Linked DNA regions of Oryctolagus cuniculus. The protein of the gene in region 2 purifies or fractionates together with the protein of the main gene of each other region. This does not show direct contact. Links are inferred from orthologs where the notes say so. Each region holds a gene or a part of one and is shown on either strand. Other genes may lie near its edges.

Region 1 (4,016 bases), on a different chromosome or scaffold from region 2:
TCGTCTCTTCCAGCTTCTGGTGGCTCTGATTTTTCCTTGGCATGTGGCCACATCTCTTTATTATCTGCTTCTTTTTTTTTTTGACAGGCAGAGTGCACAGTGAGAGAGAGAGAGAGAGAGAGAAAGGTCTTCCTTTGCCGTTGGTTCACCCTCCAATGGCCGCTGCGGCCGGCGCACTGCGGCCGGTGCACCGCGCTGATCCGATGGCAGGAGCCAGGTACTTCTCCTGGTCTCCCATGGGGTGCAGGGCCCAAGGACTTGGGCCATCCTCCACTGCACTCCCTGGCCACTATCTGCTTCATTTTTTTTAAAAAAAGATTTATTTATTTGAAAGGCAGATAGAGAGGGTAGGATGGAGAGAGAGAGATGTTCTGTCTGCCGTTTCACTCCCCAGATGGCTGCAATGGCCAGGGCCAGGCCAGGCTGAAACCAGGAGCCAGGAACTTCATTTGGGTCTCGCACTTGGGTACAGGGACCCAAGCACTTGAGCCATCTTCCGCTGCTTTCCTGGGTGCATTAGCAGGGAGCTGGATTGGAAGTGGAGTAATCAGGCCTTGAACCAGTGCCTATATGGGATGGTGGCTTAACCCGTTACACCACAATGCTGGCCCCTTCTGACTGTTTTCACCTGGCTTTCTTCCTTGCATGTTTTCCTCTGTCTTTTGTCTTTTATAAAGACACTTGTTAATGGATTTAAGGCCCACCTGAATAACCCAGCAAGCTCTCATTTTGATCAAGGCCCTTAGTTTACATCTGCAAAGATACTTTTCCCAAATAAAGTTGCATTTATAGGTTTTGGGGCTACCATGCAGCCTACAGTACTTGGGAGGGAACATCCCCTCCGGCTTGAGGGTCTGTGTAAGGGTAGGGGTCCCAGCGCACACCGATGTCTCCTGCTACAATAATCCTTAGTTTTCTGCCTCTGGCAAAGTTCCTGCCTTAGGTGTGCATCCTGAAGATGGGTGCTGGTACAGAGTCCGTAACCAGTGCTAAGCCATGGCCTGTGCAAGTCTCACAGAGGTGGTTCAGCATCTTCCTTCGGAATGAGGGTGTTTGTGACCTCTTAGATCGAAACCCCATTTCGGCCAGAGGGATCAGCATTTTGCCTTCATGGCCCCAGAGCTCCTGCACAGAGTGTACTTATCCTGCTGGGGATGAGAATTCCCCTGGGTCTCATGGGATGCCTTTGCTGCCTTTCTCGAAGAGCGTGCCTTGGATGAGCAGGCAGCCCTGGAAGAACCAGCTGTGTGAGATGGTGCAGCCCAGCGGCGGCCCGGCCGGGGACCAGGACGTGCTGCCTGAAGAGTCTTCTCTGGGGAAGCCGGCCATGCTGCATCTGCCCGCAGAGCAGGGTGCTCCTGACGCTCTCCAGCGCTGTCTGGAGGAGAACCAAGAGCTCCGAGGTGAGGTGGACAGCAAGTAGGTGGGGCACAAAGTCAGGGGATCTGGTCCTGCTGAAGGCAAGGCTTCTCTCGTGCACCTCTGCGTCTGCTGGGTGTGGGGCGAGGGCACCCCGAGAGCCAGCTTGTGCTTCCAGCGTAGCTACCTTGCCTCCTGGTTCCAGGCGGGGTTCCCTGGGAGCAGACCGAGGTGCATGGCAGGGTCAGTACTGAGGCAGAGAAGGGAAGGAGATGGGAGAAAGCAGGGGTGGGCAGCAGAAGTGGGCTGCCTTGGCTGACCCCCAGGGACTCTGGGGCTGGACTGACACTTCCAGGCTGGACCAGCGTGGCCCAGCCTCAGAGGACCTCTTCCCTGGGAGGGGACTCAGACTTTCCTGGGGTGGGTTGCGGTCTTGTTTGAGAGGGGGGTGCTGTGGCCTGTCCTGGGAAGTGGGTGTGGCCCACCCTGAGAGGAGGTGGTGTTGACCAGCATGAGAGGCATGACCCCTGCTGCAGTGGGGTAGCTGATGCCTCAGTTGTGTCTTTAGTTGGCCATTCATGTCCTAGTTGGCCAGTGGCTCTTGCCACAGTTGTAGTCCCATTCCCCACCTCCTTAAGTGAGTGTTGGATGTGATGTAGGGTCTTTTGCTGATGAGTCACGTGCTCTGTGGCCTCAGGGAGTGGTGCTGGCAGATGCCATGCACGCAGGGAGCAGACCTGGGTCTGGAATGTGTGTCCTCTTCCTAGGAGACAGCTAGCCACCAAGAGACTGCTTGGTTTCCTTGAAGGTTGCATTGGAGAGGCCCCGCCTTTTTTTTTTTTTTTTAGATTTATTTATCTGAAAGGCAGAATTACAGAGAGGCAGAGGCATACAGAGAAAGAGAGGCCTTCCATCCGCTTGTTCACTCTGCAGATGGCCTCAACGGCCAGAGCTGTGCTGATCCCAAGCTGGGAGCCAGGAGCTTCTTCTGGGTCTCCTATGCGGGTGCAGGGGCCTGAGGACTTGGGCCATCTTCTGCTTTCCCAGGCCATAGCAGAGAGCTAGATCGGAAGTGGAGCAGTGGGTCTAGAACCAGCGCCCATATGGGATGGTGGCACTGCAGACGGCGGCTTTACCCACTATGCCACGGCGCTGGCCCCGAGGCCCTGTCTTGAGCACAGAGCAGCAGTGTCTTCTACCTCAGTTCTGTTGACCTCTGGGGCCAGCTAATTCTCTGTGGTGAGGGCTGTCCTAGCCATTGTGGCATGGTGAGCAGTATCCCTGGCTTCTACTCACAGGTGCCAATAGTGCCCCTCCAGTCCCCTGGGAGTCACAGTTGTCCTTGAGTGGGACCCACTGTGCTGGGGTCTTCAGAACAAGTCATGCACATAGAGCTGGCAGCCAGATCGGGGCCTCTGCTCATCCCTAGGGGCCCAGAGCATTTCAGAGCAGTTGTGCAGGGCTCATGCCATGGCCTGTGGTGGCTCGGCTCTTCTGCCTCCTAGACTGTGTGTTCAGCACAACAGCTTTGCTAAGTCTCTGGCAGCAAGTGGAGACTTGAGGCTATATTGCCTCCAACTGGGAAGCTGGATAAAGCTTGGGGGGCAGCATGTGAGACCCCCGGGGCCCTGAAGGTGATTGTCCCCCAAGGTGCTCATGATTGTGTCTATAGGTAGGCTGTGAAACCAAACAAGGGAGGGTACAGTGTTTGCTCAGAACGTTTATGAAGAAACTTCCCGGAAGAGCTTGCCTGTATTCACGTGACATGTCTCAGAGACAGAAAGCAGTTGAGTGGACGCCAGGAGTGCGGGCAGGGGGCCTACGGGAGAGAATGCTGCTGGGTTTGGGGTTTCTTTCTGGGGTGCTGGGAATGTTCTGGAATTAGGTAGTGCTGATGGTTGCATGATCTTACAGCTTCATTAGCTAAAAACCACTGGATGACTATACTTTAAAATAGTTAAAATGGTGAATTTGATGTTACATGAATTTTTACGTCACTAAAAAGAAATTTAAAAGACATTGCACACAAGTTGAGACTCGGGTTGAGTGGGCAGGCAGCAGTGATGGCCAAGGGTTTGGAACATTCAGTGATGTGAAACTACTGTCTACCTCTGTTGGATACGGTTCTGTGGTTGCCCTAGAACCTTGCACGTCACTGATCGCTTTTGTCAGATGCTTCTTCCTCTACCTGGGGTGGTCGCTGGGTATGTGGCTTTCCTCTCCTCTGGCCTCTGCCAGCCACCTGCCGCTGGCACTGATATATGCTCATGGCTTAGTCTGGCGAGAAGAAGACTGCTCTTATTTATTTATTTATTTATTTATTTATTTATTGACAGGCAGAGTGGATAGTGAGAGAGAGAGAGACAGAGAGAAAGGTCTTCCTTTTGCCGTTGGTTCACCCTCCAATGGCCGCCACGGCCGGTGCGCTGCGGCCGGCGCACCGCGCTGATCCGATGGCAGGAGCCAGGAGCCAGGTGCTTTTCCTGGTCTCCCCATGGGGTGCAGGGCCCAAGCACCTGGGCCATCCTCCACTGCACTCCCTGGCCACAGCAGAGGGCTGGCCTGGAAGAGGGGCAACTGGGACAGAATCCGGCGCCCCGACCGGGACTAGAACCCGGTGTGCCGGCGCCGCTAGGCGGAGGATTAGCCTAGTGAGC
Region 2 (3,500 bases):
GCCCCTGCATTTCTCCTCCAGCCCAAGCCTGCCTGGTGCCCACTCTGGGGGTCTGGGATTGCAAGTGACCTTCTCTGTTCTTGGTCTCCCACAGCGTGAGCACAGCGTGGAAGATGGCAGTGATGGAAACAGCCTGCCCGGGCACCCCTGGCTCTGCAGTTGGGCAGCAGAAGGAGCTCGCCCAAGCCAAGGAGAAGACACAGTCTCTGGGGAAGAAGCAGAGCTCCCTCCTCCATCTCGAGGCCGTGGAGAAGAGCCCTGTGTTCTGCGGGAAGTGGGAGGTCCTAAATGACGTGATTACCAAGGGCACAGCCAAGGAAGGCTCCGGGGGCGGGCCAGCCGCCATCTCCATCATCGCCCAGGCTGAATGTAAGGGACTGGCTTGTGGGCACAGGGAGCAGGTGGCGGGCTAGACACAGAGGAGGCCAGGCTTGGGGTCCCTGATGGAAAGGAGTGGTTAAGGTAACCATTAGATAAGATTCTCACAAGACATGGCCATGGCCCAGATTCAGTGAGAAGTAGTGGGAGATGAAAGAGCGGATGTGGGGAACAGAGGCTGAACCCATGGTGAGAAGAGGTGGCAGCACTGAGAGGCAGGTGACTTGGGTCTCTTTGCGGGATCATCAAGAGGGCCAGTAGCCTAGAGGGGCCCTAGCCAGGAAAGACCAGGTCTCCCGGAAAGCCCCGCTGGGACTTGCAGGTCCTTTTCCACCTTCCACCTGGATATGGCCCCAACCCCCAGGATGAACACCCTGCTTTGGGGCATGCTGGTCCAGTCCAGGGCTGCAGCCACCCCAGGGTGAGACTGGGCCTGGCACTTTGTGCTTCTACTCGCAGTACCTCAAGGTGACAGGCAATGGTGGCGGCTCTAGGAGGGCCGGGGAAGGCCAGCAGTCCTCTCCCCTTTCCGACACTCGCTCCAAGCCCAGAGGTTTCTAGGGGTGGGACGTGGAGGGCCTGACAGCCAGTGATGAGGCTTCCTTCCTTCCTTTCCCACTTGCGGCTGTTTGCTTGTTGAAGAGAGCTGAGGGAATGAAAAGGAAAATGGAGCGAGCCACATAGTAGTGGTGGTATACAGATACACACATGTAGCTGAACCAGTGTGGAACATACACGCTCACGGTCCTTCTCTGTGTAGGATGGAGCCACTGCCCTGTGCCGTGTGCTTTGTGTAGATCATTTCACAGAAGCTGTACACTAGAAGTGAGGTGGGCACCCCACAGTCCCCAAATCCTCAACATCCCTTCTGCTCTTGACCATGAAGCTGGGCAGGAGGAAGGTCAGACGGTCAGTGAGAGGAGGCCAGGGCCAGGAGGTAGCCGGCAGAGACGTGCTGAGGGGGGAGAGGAGGACTCTAAGGTGCATCTGCTGCTGAGGTCGTGTTCCTTCTCTTCTCTCTGCAAACCCCCCCTCTCTCCACTTATTTCAAAGGTGAGAACAGCCAGGAGTTCAGCCCCACCTTTTCAGAACGCATTTTCATCGCAGGGTCAAAACAGTACAGGTAAGAAAGCCTGCTGGGCGGGGCCGGGGACCCGAAGCTGGTGTCCTCCCTGCCCTGCGCACCCAGGCTGCTGCCCGCTGGCCCTGGCTCCCTCCTCAGACACCTGTGGTTCAGCTCTTGGCATGTAAAGCCTTTCAGAGCCTTTTCAGGGCGTGTGGACGCCTGCCTCTGGGTCCCATCAGCCTGACACTTTGTTTTTGTTCTTTTCTGAGTCCTTGAGGCACCCCTGCTTTCCATCAACAGGGAGGGTTCCGGGAACAGGGGCCACTTCCTACTGGTGCGTGTCTGTGATCGCCTGTGCAGGGGTCCCCTCACCGTCCCCTGGGGAGAGAGCCCACTGGTGTCTCCCCCTGGAGACTCACCTGTAGGGGATGGTTTTGTGGAGGCAGGGGCTGGGCAGACCAGAGCGGCAGGACGCACTCCCAGCTCTCAGACCCCCAGAGACGCTGTTTGGCAACTGAGGGTTCAGCCTAGAAACACTTCCCTCCCCCGGCTGCAGGCCAGCTTCTGTACCCTTGGGATCTGGAAGCTGCTAGTGACGGTGGGAGGGCTGCCGCTGGGAGCCAGAAAGCCTCGGACTTTGGCCGAACTCCTCTGCTGACTTGGAGGCCTTGGCCCGGGGCAAGGGTTTCTGATGGGCCCACCCTTCTCAGCCTTCAGAGAGGAGCCTGTGGGAGCTCAGGCCTCCAGCCGTCCCCAGGCCTTGGGGGGAGCCTGCCTTTATTTTCAGGGCAGAAGGTGAGGCCCAAGGAGCGCGGCAGAGGCTGTGGTCTGCTCCATACCACATTCAAAAACTCTCATGGTGCAGTTCCTCTCAGAACTAGCAGTGGTGTGAACCCGTGAGAGCCATGGTGGGGAGAAGCCTCTGGGTGGTCAGAGAAGGAAGGACAAGCTCCATGGTCCCCGGACACCAGGCAGGCAGCTCCTGGCTTCCTGCAGTAACCAGGTATCTCCAGGGACCAGTGCAGGCAACCTGACTATGATGACAGCAACTAGCCTTCTCTCTGGAGGCATCAGAAACAAACCGCTGCCAGTCCGGGCTGAGGACGTCTGCTGTGAACATGGCGCTCTTCTGGAAGCCCTCCAGGGGACAGCAGAGAGAAGCCCATGTCTCTGCTGTCCCCCCTCAAGAGAGCAGGGTCCTAGGCCCCGTGTGTTGACAGCTGGCCTTGGGCTGGGCATGGAGGTTGGCTTGTTAGTGAACTGTTTCATTGGAACCTCGTGTCCTCCCTGCACAGCAGAAAGATTTCACATATGAGAAAACTGAGGTTCCTCTGGCTAAGACCTGTCCCGAATTTGCATGAGTGTGGTCACATGCCGTGTGATGTGACGTGGTCTCACAGGATTACTGTACGACCCCGTGACTTGGTAGCACTCCTGCTTTGTGTGAGCATACGCTCTGCCACTCCCCTGACGAACTCACACGTATCTCAGACACAGTGCTGTCAATAAGCAACCGTCATAACCCAGAGGCACTGGATCTCAGATCTGTGGACTCCACGGTTAACCTGACCCATCCCATCCTCCTGCCTCCTGTGCCCTCAGCGCCCACCTTGCCCTCTCTTGACAGCCAGTCTGAGGGCCTTGATCAGATCCCCAACAATGTGGCCCACGCAACCGAGGGCAGAACAGCCCGTGTGTGCTGGAAGGGAAAGCGTCGCAGCAAAGCCCGCAAGAAAAGGAAGAAGAAGAAGAGCTCAAAGTCCCCGGCACAGGCAGGAGTGGCCTTAGCCAAACCCTGCCCCCGAACCCCTGAGCAGGAGAGCTGCACAGTCCCCGTGCAGGTGAGACCCGCCACCCCCTGCCCAGAGCCCGGCTCCTGGGGCCTTCTGAACACCTGTCCTAACTCCTGTGTTTCCCCTGCAGGAGGATGAGTCTCCATTGGGCACCCCGTATATTAGAAGCAGCCCCCAGTTCACCAAACCTCTGAGGGAACCAGGCCTTGGCCAACTCTGTTTTAAGAAACTTGGTGAGGACCTACGGCCGGCACTGCCTCGAT
Region 3 (2,787 bases), on a different chromosome or scaffold from region 2:
GAGAGCGGTGACGGAGACGAGGACGGGGACGAGCAGGCTGAGCTGGGCGAGGAGGACCTGTTCCACCAGCAGGTAGCGGGCGGGGCGTCCCGCGTGGTCCTGGCTGCGGGCGGGGCGGGGCGGGGGTGTCCCGCGTGGTCCGGGGCTGTAGGCGGGGTGGGGGGCGTCCCGCGTGGTCCTGGGCTGCGGGCAGGGTGGGGGCGGGGTGGGGGCGTCCCCGCGTGGTCCCGGGCTGCGGGCGGGGCTGCGGGCGGGGCCTTCCCCGGAGGGAGCGCCCCGAAGGCCGGGCCTGGGGCCTGACGCGCGCCCTCCCCGCAGGGAGACCCCCGCACCACGTCGAGAGGCTGCCGCGTGATGTGAGCGCCGCCCCGCCCGCGGCCCCCGAGGACTGTAGTTTTCTATCATTGGCTTTCCCCACACCGATACCATTTCCCGAGAATTCTTACAACTGCGGGCGCGGGCGGGGCGGGGCGGGGCGGGGCGGTCCCGGGAGGCGCCAGCAGGGCCCCGCCTCGGCCGGGACCCCCGCCCGCACCCCTGCCCGCGAGCGCGGCGGGCGCCCAGGGACGCTGGCGCTGCGGGGGTCGCGGCCGGGAGCTCCCGCACGGCCCCGTCGGTGCGTGGCTCCTGTCCGTCAGCCGCGGCCCGGCCGCAGGAGCCTCCCACGCACAGACGCTATTTTTTTAATGGATATTTATTTTTTTACATGGGTCAGCCCCACCCCTCGGGCCGACCGCCCAGACCCCCGCCCGGGCCCCGCCCCCGCGCTGCCCCACGCGCCCCCGGGGCACGCACGCCTCGCGCGCAGGGAAGTTGTCTTCACCCCACGCCTTCCCGCGGCGGGGCGGGAACCCCGTGGCCCTGTGCGCGTGGGCTCGGGGGGTCGCGGCCCTGGGGGGGGTCCCGGTCACGCGCCCGGATGCATGCGGCCCCTCCCGTGGTTTGTAACGCATTTTACGACTGGAACCTTTTGTACAACAACACTCCAATAAACGTTTTGATTCTAACCGCGGCCGCTCGCTCCTTCTGTCGCCGGCCCTGGCCACCTCCCCTCGCCCTGGGCGTCCAGGCCGCTGTCGCCTGGGCCGGGCTTTGCCGCGTCACGTGACCTGGCTCCGCCCCAGGCGCGCGCGGGAGTGCGCAGGCGCGACGGGATTCGGCGGAAGCGTGGCGCCTCGCGCATGCGCGGGCATTGTGGGAGTTGTAGTCCGCCGGCCGGCTCCGCTTCCCGTGGTGCCCCGCGCGGCGCGACTTCCGGCGCGGAGACGGGTCGGTGCGCGCGGCCACAGTCCGGCTGACTGCGGAGCCATGGAGGGCAGCTTCGGCTCGGACTTCGGGGGCTCGGGCGGCGGGAAGCTGGACCCGGGCCTCATCATGGAGCAGGTGAAGGTGCAGATCGCCGTGGCCAACGCGCAGGAGCTGCTGCAGGTGCGGGCCGGGGGCGGCGCGGCGGAGGCGGAGGCGGAGGCGCCCGGGCTCGGGCGGCGCGGCTGAGGCCTGCGCGTGTCTCCGCAGAGAATGACGGACAAGTGCTTCCGGAAGTGCATCGGGAAGCCGGGGGGCTCCTTGGACAACTCGGAGCAGGTGAGTCCCGCGGGGGCGCGGGGAGGCTGTGTGCAGGGGCGCGGGGTCCCGGCGCCGGAGGGGAGCTGTGTGCGGGGCGGCGGGGGCGCGGGGTGTCCGTGTGCAGGGGCGCGGGGCGGCGGCGGGGGCGCGGGGTGTCCGTGTGCGGGGGCGCGGGGTCCCGACGCCGGCGGGGAGGTGTGTGCGGGGCGGCGGGGGCGCGGGGTGTCCGTGTGCAGGGGCGCGGGGCGGCGGGGGCGCGGGACGCCGGCGGGGAGGGGGCGCGGGGTCCCGGCGCCGGAGGGGAGGTGTGTGCGGGGCGGCGGGGGCGCGGGGCGGCGGAGGGGGCGCGGGGTGTCCGTGTGCAGGGACGCGGGACGCCGGCGGGGAGGGGGCGCGGAGTCCCGGCGCCGGCGGGGAGGCCTGTGCGGGGGCGCGGGGTCCCGGCGCCGGCGGGGAGGGCCGGGGCGCGCGCGTGTCCCCGGCTGAGCCGCGTGTCCCCGCCGCAGAAGTGCATCGCCATGTGCATGGACCGCTACATGGACGCCTGGAACACCGTGTCGCGCGCCTACACCTCGCGGCTGCAGCGGGAGCGCGCCAACCTGTGACCGAGCCGGACGCCGCAGGCCGGGCGTCGGGGCCGGGTCTGGACCTTGGTGGGGAGGGGGCGCTCGGGCCCCGCTCCGCTGTGACCCCGCGAGGGCGAATAAACGGCTGAGCCAGCGCGGGGACCCGCATTTCTCTCTGGGCGCGGGCGGGGGAGTGCGGTGCCCGCTGCGAGGCTGCCCCCCCGCCCCCCCCCCGGCCCCGCGCGGGACAAGGAGGCGCTGAGCCGTCGGGCTGCGGGCGGGAGCTGTTTATTGGCACAGGCAGGGTCACTCCTGGATGTTTTGCGCGATCCAGGCTCTCACCGCCGCCACCCGGGTGTAGACGCCGGGGAAGTGGGGCCGGCCGCAGCCGTACCCCCAGCTGGTGACCCCCGTTAGCACCCAGCGGCCGGAGGGCTCCCTGCAGGCCAGAGGACCCCCGGCGTCGCCCTGAGGGAGAGGAGGAGGAGGAGGGGGCTCAGCGGAGGCCGCGGGGAGGGCCCGGGACCCCCGGCCGCCCGCTCACCGAGCAGCTGTCGACGCCGCCCTGCGGGAAGCCGGCGCACAGCATACGGCTGCTGATCTGCACCGGGTAGAAGCGGCGGCAGGTCTGCTCGCTGAGCACGCGCACGGCCGC
Region 4 (4,098 bases), on a different chromosome or scaffold from region 2:
ACCGTGTGTGCTTTGCAGAGAGCTGCAAACAAACCCCCTCCAGGGTGACCTGACCGACACCTTCCGAGGCTTTACACAGCTCCAGACATTGTGAGTATGGGGACAAGATGGAGGGAGAGAACCAAAGGGGGCAGTGCCATGAGCTCAGCAGCTTAGGCTGCGTATTATGACCACTGTGTTGTCTTCAGGGTACTGCCGCATGATGTCAGCTGTCCTGGGGGTATTAGTGCCTGGGACACCGTCACCTCTTACGCAGACAACCAAACCTGCCAAGGGCAAAAGAACCTTTGTAACAGCACTGGAGACCCAGGTACGCTGGCTCACCTCACCTTCCTTCCTTGGACAGTTCTCCACTTTAGAGCAGAAAGCCAAAAATGCCTGAATGCATTTTGTTCTGAGGTTCTAACGACCCTTGGAAAGAAAAGATCTTAAACGTTCTACTGTAATTATTAGGTGTGATGAGCTGTAATCTTTCCTGTCCCTTTGACCTGGAAATGACTGAGAGAACCTAACTTGAAAAGGTGTTTCAGAAATACACCTAATGAAATCCGGCGATGTTCTCTACTTCTGTCTCCCAGAAATGTGCCCTGAGAATGGCTCTTGCGCCCCCGATGGTCCAGGTTTCTTGCAGTGTGTGTGTGCTGATGGCTTCCATGGATACAAGTGTATGCGCCAGGTGAGGAGTTGGGCCTTGCGATTGGGATGAGGCATACATGGTAAGAACCTCCCTGGAAGCAGAGCCAGAGGTGAGGGGCTTATGCAGACTCCCCGGGGGAGGAGCGCGGTAGAGGTGCCCGGGAAGACGGGGAGGGTATACAGGAGAGAAGCTGGGTTGGGGTGTGGAGTGAGTGTGGTTTTGATCTGTTGTTCCAGGGCTCGTTCTCACTGCTTATGTTCTTCGGGATTCTGGGATCCACCACCCTGTCCATCTCTGTCCTGCTTTGGGGGACCCAGCGCCGAAAAGCCAAGACGTCCTGACCACAGGGGTGTTCTGCTGCTCTAGGACCACCAGCCAGGGAGATCTGCGGGCCAGACGCGCGCGGTGGGCCCGTGGCGGCTCCTCCAGGCTGAAGCTGCTGTCGGAAGGCAGGCGGGGAACTGCGCCGCCAGGAGTGTCAGGCGCGGGCCCGTGCGCGATTCCACTTGTGCTGCTGACTATTAGAATAAACACTTCTCTCTCTTTAGGAAGGGCTTCCTGCCTTTGTGTTTCTTGATGGGGGTGGGAGGTACTTCTCGGGGGCGGCCTCCTCCGGCCCCGCCCCTTCCGCGCCCGGCCCCGCCCCGCGCCGCCGGCTGCCCGCGCCGCCGCAGTGCCGGCAGCCGCCGAGCGCGCCAGGGGCTCAGCGCCTGCAGCGCCCGCCTTCTCTCCGGCGCCCGGCGCGGGCAGCCACGTGGACCGATCCGGCGCGCCGCTTCGCGTGCTTCCAGGGGGCTCCCCGCGTCTCCGCGCTCCCCCACGCCGCAGCTCCGTCCCCATGGCGGCCCTGGTGTTGGAAGATGGCTCGGTCCTGCGGGGCCAGCCCTTCGGGGCCGCCGTGTCGACGGCCGGCGAAGTAGGTAAGCAAGCCCGGGCGGGCGCCCACCTCATCGCCCCGCGCTGATGCTGCCCCTCTCCGCCCAGCCCGCCTGCCCGGACCCCGCCATCTTCCGGCCCTGTTCGGGGGCCATGGCCGGAGCCCCGCTGGGCAGCCCGCGCAGGGCGCGCGGGGCAGGGTTGCGAAGGGTGCCCTTGCGCGAGCCCAGCCCCGCCTCTGTCCTGCAGTGTTTCAGACCGGCATGGTCGGCTACCCCGAGGCCCTCACCGACCCCTCGTACGAAGCACAGATCCTGGTGCTGACGTACCCGCTCATCGGCAACTACGGCATCCCCAGGGACGAGCTGGATGAGTTCGGCCTCAGCAAGGTAGCCACGCCCCGTGCTCGCTCTCTCTGCGTGCCTGCTGGCTGGGCGCTGTGACCTCTCAGTCTAGTGACAGCGCTGGCACTCGGCCGGGCATCCCGGGGAGAAGGAGGGTACCCGCTGCAGAGCGCCGTCCTTGGGTTGGGGGTCGCAAAGTTCCCTGGGTGGCAAGGAGCGCCGTGCTGGGGGAGGAGCAGAGAGCTGCCCCCTGTGTTGGGGTCTTCAGGGCACCAGACATAGCTGAGATGAGTGGGTATTTAGCAAAGGCATGGCAAGAGGGGAGAGGCGAGGGTGTTACCCAGGTTGCCAAGAATGCAGAAGTAAGGAAAAAAATCCTGCAGAAAGGTTGGGTAACAGTGGACGCAGAGAGCCTTGGAGTCCAACCAGTGGAAGTGTTTTAGCAGTGGAGTCCTGTGTTGGGAGCATTGCATTAGGTTGACCTAAACTAGGGGCAAAGACACCGAGACCCCACCAGTGACAGTGGGTACAGCTTACCTGCAGCACCGGTGACACCTGGGCCCCCATACCTCGTCCTGTCTGGCTTTCTACATGTCAGTGGTATTCTTACCCCTCATAAGAAAACTCAGTTTCTTTTTACCGTGAGGTTTCCCCTCTTCCTTCCCTGCTATTTGGAAACTAAGTTACCCTGTGCGAGTTCAAGCCTTAAGGTGGTAGTGGAAGGCTGTGGGTGAAGCCACTGTTCATGATGCCGGCATCCCATATCAGAGTGCAGGTTCAAGGCCTGGCTGCTCCACTTCCTACCCAGCTCCCTGCTAATGTGTCTGGCAAGGCAGCAGATGATGGCCCCTGCCACCTACATGGGAGACCAGGATGGAGTTACTGGCTCTTGGCTCTGGCCTGACCCAGCCCTGCCTGAGGAAGGCTAGTATTCCTCAAAACTTGTTTTGTTTGAATTCCTGGTTTGTTGAGCCCTGAATTCTTTTTTTTTTCTTAAGATTTATTTATTTATTTGAAAGAGTTACACAGGGAGAGAAGGAGAGGCAGAGAGAGAGAGAGAGAGGTTTTCCATCCGCTGGTTCACTCCCCAATTGTCTGCAATAGCCAGAGCTGCGTCAATCTGAAGCCAGGAGCCAGAGCTTTTTCCGGGTCTCCCACGTGGGTACAGGGGCCCAAGGACTTGAGCCATCTGCTGCTTTCCCAGGCCAGAGCAGAGAGCTGGATCGGAAGTGGTGCAGCTGGGTCTTGAACCCTGAATTCTTAATTTGCCTTCCCAGTCACCTTGATGCTGGAGAGTTAGCTCTGGGAAAGGAACCACTGTCTTCATCATAAACCTTTATTTTTTTTGATAGATTTATTTATTTATTTATTTTGGAAAAGTCACAGAGGGAGAGACAGAGTTCTTCCACCTTCTGGTTCACTCCCCAGATGGTTGCGTCGGCCAGGGCTGGGCCAGGCCAAAGCCAGGAACCAGGAACTCCATCCAGGTCTCCCACGTGGGTGGCAGGGGCCCAAGCACTTGAGCCATCCTCTGCTGCCTTTCCCGGGCTGTCAGCTGAGAGCTGGATCGGAAGTGGAGTAGCTGGGACACACACCGGCATCCAGTGGCTTCAGACGCCAGCCCCCATCAAAAGTCTTTGAATGCATGACACTCTAGTTTGTAATGCAGTGTCCCTTGAATTTGGTTGGCGCATCAGTTGTCAACTTCATCAGCTCCAGGCACACGGCCAAAATGGAGTTTATAAAATAGACTGCTGAGACAAGGTGAGCACGTCCTCCCTACAGCCAGCACGATGCTTCTGAGGTGGGAGAGAGAGACGCGCTGTCAGTGCACCTGCACATGTGCGGTTTGCTCCAGCCGGCTGGGGAGGGTCCTGCCCTGCTGTTCTTCAGGTCCCTGAAGAGCAGGCTCAGCGTCCATCTGCCCTTACGCCTTTCTCCATGGAGCTGGATGCAGTTTAAATGTGTTGCTCCCTCCCACAGAAACTTCCTGTTTAATTATTAATTACTACCTCTTGATGAACAGATTTACATGATTTTTCTTTTTTTTTGAGAGGTAGAGTTCCTATCCACTGGTTCACCAAATGTCCACAACACGAGGTGACAGAGCAGGAAGCCAGGAGTCAGGAACTTGATCCAGATCTGTCCCGTGGGTGCAGGGACTCGGCTACTTGAGCCTTCGGCACTGCCTTCCTGGGTCTGCCTTAGCAGAAAGCTGGAACCAGGAGCCAGGGCAGGAAC
Region 5 (4,177 bases), on a different chromosome or scaffold from region 2:
ATCTAAGGCTTTTGAAATGCAAAATTTCCCCCTCTACAGAAGTACATTCATTACCTTTTTTGGTCAGGACAAGAACTGAAAAGGAGAAATAATCTTGAATTCAGAATGAACAATTCTTGCTATATACTTTTCCCACATATTTTGGGAATGTTTTGTAACTTTCCGAGAAACATAACTTGAACTAAATACTAAACTACTACCAAGACCCATGTGCATTTTTGGAAGTTTTTAGTCATTGGGAGCCGTGGCATTTCTCCTCTATCACACTTTCTTTTTACTACCAACCATGGAACAGAGGACCTCCTGCTCTGTGACTGACTGGCAGGCAGAAATGACAGGACAGGAAATGGGAAATGGTTCAGTGTGTTGGAATTCCCCTGGCTGCCTAATTAAGTGGCTTATTTGGAAGTTTTTGAAATGTTTGCCCCTGGAGTTCCCCGGAAAGAAGCAAGCATCTGAGTTCATTGACAAAGCCTATTTTCACAGACACCGCGATACAACATGTACCCCACGGCCCAGGAGCGCAGCCGCATTCCACGCCGCAGAGGACGAGAGCCAAATGGCCCAGGCTAATGCAACCAAGGTTTATTTACGCGTGTTCCATCACGTCCCCATACGGAAAAAAATCCTTTGTCTTCGTAAGTGAACTCCTTGGCGCTTCCTGTATATGTGTGCACGTACATAACGTATACGTTCCATTTTATTCAAACCCAGCAAATCCTCGGACTGAAGCCTGACTCTCGTGGCTAACAATGCACATTTGAAATAAAACACAGCTCTTCCCCTGGAGCCTGTCTCCAGAGCAGGAAACCGAAAGTTTAAAAAAAGAAACGCTGGTTGATAAAAAAAAAAAAAAAAAAAAAAAAAAAAAAAGCTTCAAGTTTTCAAAAGCAATCTCCTGACGCCGTCCTCGCTGCATGTCTCGGCTGTGCACCCTGGCTTGCTCCCGGGCTGCGCTGCGGGACACGCACGAGGGGCAGCACGGCGAGAGTCCCGCGGGGGCCCGGACCCAACGAGGGGGCGGCCCGCGACGTGCAGTCCCTGCGCCAGGGCGTTTCCGCAGGGTTTCCCGAGCCTCCAACGCAACCGCTCACGCTCTGCCACGTCCCCCTCAGGAGAACGTCCGCGGCAGAGAAGAGGCAGATGTCACAGGGGCGCCAACCACGCGGCTAAAACGTGCAAACGCCAAGTTCAGGCGAACGAGCCGCAGCACCCCGCGGAACGACCGCGCCGCTCCAGGTGGGCGGACCCGCCGGGCCGCGCCGGGCCTCCCCGGGCCTCCGGGCCTCCTTCCCGGAGGTGACCCAGCGCTCCGTTCCGCTCTCCGACCGCAGACTCCCGGGCGCCCTCGCGCGGCGGGGGACGTGGGCGACCCGCAGGACGCGCTGACGTCACCGTGCGTCCGCGTCGGCCCCGCCGGGGTAGGGGGCTTGGGGAGCGCCGCAGGCCGGCAGAGCCGGGTTTGGCCGCTTGAGGTCTCGGCCCCACTGCCTTCCTGTTGTGCGGAGGCCTCCAGGCCCCCGAGCTGGGTCCCTGTTTGCTGTGCTGGCGATGCGGTGAGTGCGGCTCCTTCCGGGGCCGGCCGCGCGGGGCGGGTCGGGGCGCGGGCCTGCGGGGGCCCACTTCCCTGGTGTTGCGGCCGGGCGAGGGAGGACGGGGCCTGGGGCGCCGTGGGCTGTGTGGTTTCTACCCGCGCCGAGGCTTGTATTTAATTCGGAAGCCCCAACTTCAAAAGACTTTCAGTCGAGACTGGCTGCTTTTTTTTTAAATGATTCGTTTTCAAGTCTGGCCGCCGCCTGCTTTACTGCCCTTTGGACTTTGATCAAGATAGTTGCTCTAGGGAGTTTTTGCGCACTTGTAAACTTAGGCTTCCGTGGTCCGTGGGAACGCGAGAGCTCACATTTTGCAAGGCTCTGCGGTCCGCTGCTGCGGTGGTTGTCTGTTGTGTGTTGTTTGAAATAACTCCTAGAAATTAATGGCTAAAGCCGCACGGTTTCTCCTCTTTTCCCTTCCAGTTTATCCCCTGCCCACCTACAGCTTGCTTAAAGAGATCAAAAGTAGCAATATGCTGCTTGTAGATAAAGAGCTAAAATTTAAAGATACGAGACATGGTGTAATTAAAGTGTGCATTCATGCAAGCGGTCACAGTGCCAGGCCCAGGGTTGCAGGGACTATTATGTTACTGTTTGTTTTCGAGTTGGCTGTCTGTAGTGGTGGCGGCTTTGGAATTGCGAGGCAGCTGGTATGGTTTAAGGATTTGTATTAATGAGCTCCTCCTGATGTCTTTAACGCCCCACCAGACCAGCTGGTTTTTCTAGCCCTGGAAAGACCTAACATTTAAAAATCGCTTTACGGATCTGTCTCTGCTAGCCCCGTTGCAGACAGGGAGTAATGGAGTCTCCAGTTCTGTCCCTTTGTGCCTCCACCAAAGTGCCCGAGATAATTATCCTGAAGTGAGAAAAGGGGAGGAGACTGAAGACAGTGTTTCCACGTGTGGAATTGTCTTTGACGCTGTACATTGTAAAGACATGGATATAGTTCATGCTGTGGAGCTGTTTTGCATTTATTTAAATTAAGAGCATGTCCAATTAGAAAGTTTTGGTGACAGATTGCTGGAATTAACATATTGTCTAAAGTGTCAGTCAGACTCCACTGAATAAATTGCATAATCTGTAAGCTTCATGTGGCATGCAAATAGTTTTCTAAAATACCTTTTCTTTCTTTTCAGATTTATGGCTCTGAAGAGTCTCTTTGTCCCCCATTTTTTCTCCCCTTGAAGATAATAAATCCCACTATGGAGACCCTGAAACTTTATAAAGGAATATAGTTTGAATTCTATGGAGTGTAATTTTATGTATGAATTAAATTTTAAAAGTGTTGAGTTTTCAGAACGAAGGCTGGGAGTTCAGCACTGGTCTATTATGTGGAATCAGTAATTCTGTTGTGATAACACTAGAAAGGACAAGCTGTGTATTTTGATAAATTGGTTCATCCTCAATTACAACATGACTGATATTACAGCTGAATTGTCCTTAAAAAAAGAGCAGGTTAACTTTTAAATGCAGTGTAAAGAGTGTGTACTGTGGAACTTTCTATGGTTAACTAGTTAAGTTTATGAAGAAAGTACTGGCAGTTGATCAGTCATAATCAAGTGGCGTGCAAAGTTAGAAAGACAACATGCTACAGGAAATGGAAACAAGTACAGGTAATATTTAACAAAAATAGAGGAGTTAATAGCTTGTGAACTTTAAGCAAAAAATCATTTGATAATCATACACACTGTACTAGGTATAGATTGAACAAACCTGGTGGATGCTAACTTAACCCTAGAATTGTTAACTGAAGCTAATAAACCTATTTAAGTAAATACTATGACGATAAGCTATGTGAAATTAGCCTTTAGATAATGTGACTTTTATAAATGAAGCTTTTAATTACTTTTGTTTACTAGAAGAAAGTGAAAAAAAATTTGGATGTCATAGTAAGGTGCTTACAGGGAAACAATCCTGCATATAGATTTTTTTCTCTTGTGAAATAATCAGTGATTGGCCTGATGTCCAAGCTTCATAGCTTATAACCAAAAGCGAATTGGAGTCATAATTGAGATAATCTGTAGTTGCTTAGTATTTGGAAAATATAAACCTCTTAGAAAAATCAAGTTTTAACATTTCCCAAGTGCGTGAACTTTTTCAGGCCGTTACATTATTGTTATACCAATGAGTAAATAGCTCTTTAGTTACTTAAAAGTGAATACAATCTTGAAGAATACTAAGAGTATCTTGGTAATTTAGGAGATTTATTTATCCCACCTTACCATAAGCTCACCAGTCAGGTGTGGTGAATTCTGCGTAAGTCAACCAGTCATTTGATTCCTTTCTGTGGTGAAGTCTCTGAAGAGATGAGAGGTTTCATGTGAAGGTTTTAGCCATCAAGAAATACTGTCACCTACTCATGCACAAAACTACCTCCCCAAGAGTAGTCCCAAGGACCCTGTATTGAAGAACTCAGAATATGATGGAAGACAGCACCATCTTGTCAACTTGGACAAATGACAACAAACAAAAAATGAAGTATGACTTCTCTTGCGAACTCTACAGAATGTCTACCTACTCAGCTTTCCCCAACGGTGTTCCTGTCTCAGAACGGAGTCTTGCTCGTGCTGGTTTCTATTACACTG

Evidence for each region.
Region 1: the proteins of MAP3K14 (region 2) and IKBKG purify together in Homo sapiens (affinity purification with mass spectrometry; 6 studies listed by BioGRID and IntAct, counting the BioPlex papers as one, with this or other methods). This does not show direct contact. The link is inferred for Oryctolagus cuniculus from reciprocal best matches to the Homo sapiens genes MAP3K14 and IKBKG.
Region 3: the proteins of MAP3K14 (region 2) and TIMM13 purify together in Homo sapiens (affinity purification with mass spectrometry; 3 studies listed by BioGRID and IntAct, with this or other methods). This does not show direct contact. The link is inferred for Oryctolagus cuniculus from reciprocal best matches to the Homo sapiens genes MAP3K14 and TIMM13.
Region 4: the proteins of MAP3K14 (region 2) and CAD purify together in Homo sapiens (affinity purification with mass spectrometry; 3 studies listed by BioGRID and IntAct, with this or other methods). This does not show direct contact. The link is inferred for Oryctolagus cuniculus from reciprocal best matches to the Homo sapiens genes MAP3K14 and CAD.
Region 5: the proteins of MAP3K14 (region 2) and BIRC2 purify together in Homo sapiens (affinity purification with western blotting; 3 studies listed by BioGRID and IntAct, with this or other methods). This does not show direct contact. The link is inferred for Oryctolagus cuniculus from reciprocal best matches to the Homo sapiens genes MAP3K14 and BIRC2.

Annotation. Positions count from the first base shown.
Region 1 is NC_091453.1:132,763,940-132,767,955, forward strand, and holds the start of IKBKG (NF-kappa-B essential modulator), read left to right. Parts: upstream 1-1,216; coding exon 1,217-1,403; intron 1,404-4,016. UniProt on the Homo sapiens protein: Regulatory subunit of the IKK core complex which phosphorylates inhibitors of NF-kappa-B thus leading to the dissociation of the inhibitor/NF-kappa-B complex and ultimately the degradation of the inhibitor.
Region 2 is NC_091448.1:18,482,470-18,485,969, reverse strand, and holds part of MAP3K14 (mitogen-activated protein kinase kinase kinase 14), read left to right. Parts: intron 1-94; 5' UTR 95-113; coding exon 114-369; intron 370-1,431; coding exon 1,432-1,501; intron 1,502-3,071; coding exon 3,072-3,285; intron 3,286-3,367; coding exon 3,368-3,500.
Region 3 is NW_027208270.1:74,429-77,215, forward strand, and holds TIMM13 (mitochondrial import inner membrane translocase subunit Tim13), read left to right. Parts: upstream 1-1,166; 5' UTR 1,167-1,308; coding exon 1,309-1,428; intron 1,429-1,515; coding exon 1,516-1,584; intron 1,585-2,072; coding exon 2,073-2,171; 3' UTR 2,172-2,287; downstream 2,288-2,787. Other genes in the region: LMNB2 (lamin-B2), read left to right, coding at 1-72, 319-360. UniProt on the Homo sapiens protein: Mitochondrial intermembrane chaperone that participates in the import and insertion of some multi-pass transmembrane proteins into the mitochondrial inner membrane.
Region 4 is NC_091433.1:175,753,321-175,757,418, reverse strand, and holds the start of CAD (multifunctional protein CAD), read left to right. Parts: upstream 1-1,298; 5' UTR 1,299-1,475; coding exon 1,476-1,557; intron 1,558-1,762; coding exon 1,763-1,902; intron 1,903-4,098. Other genes in the region: ATRAID (all-trans retinoic acid-induced differentiation factor), read left to right, coding at 19-90, 189-310, 579-676, 874-978. UniProt on the Homo sapiens protein: Multifunctional protein that encodes the first 3 enzymatic activities of the de novo pyrimidine pathway: carbamoylphosphate synthetase (CPSase; EC 6.3.5.5), aspartate transcarbamylase (ATCase; EC 2.1.3.2) and dihydroorotase (DHOase; EC 3.5.2.3).
Region 5 is NC_091432.1:94,067,270-94,071,446, forward strand, and holds the start of BIRC2 (baculoviral IAP repeat-containing protein 2), read left to right. Parts: upstream 1-1,377; 5' UTR 1,378-1,556; intron 1,557-2,728; 5' UTR 2,729-4,011; coding exon 4,012-4,177. UniProt on the Homo sapiens protein: Multi-functional protein which regulates not only caspases and apoptosis, but also modulates inflammatory signaling and immunity, mitogenic kinase signaling, and cell proliferation, as well as cell invasion and metastasis.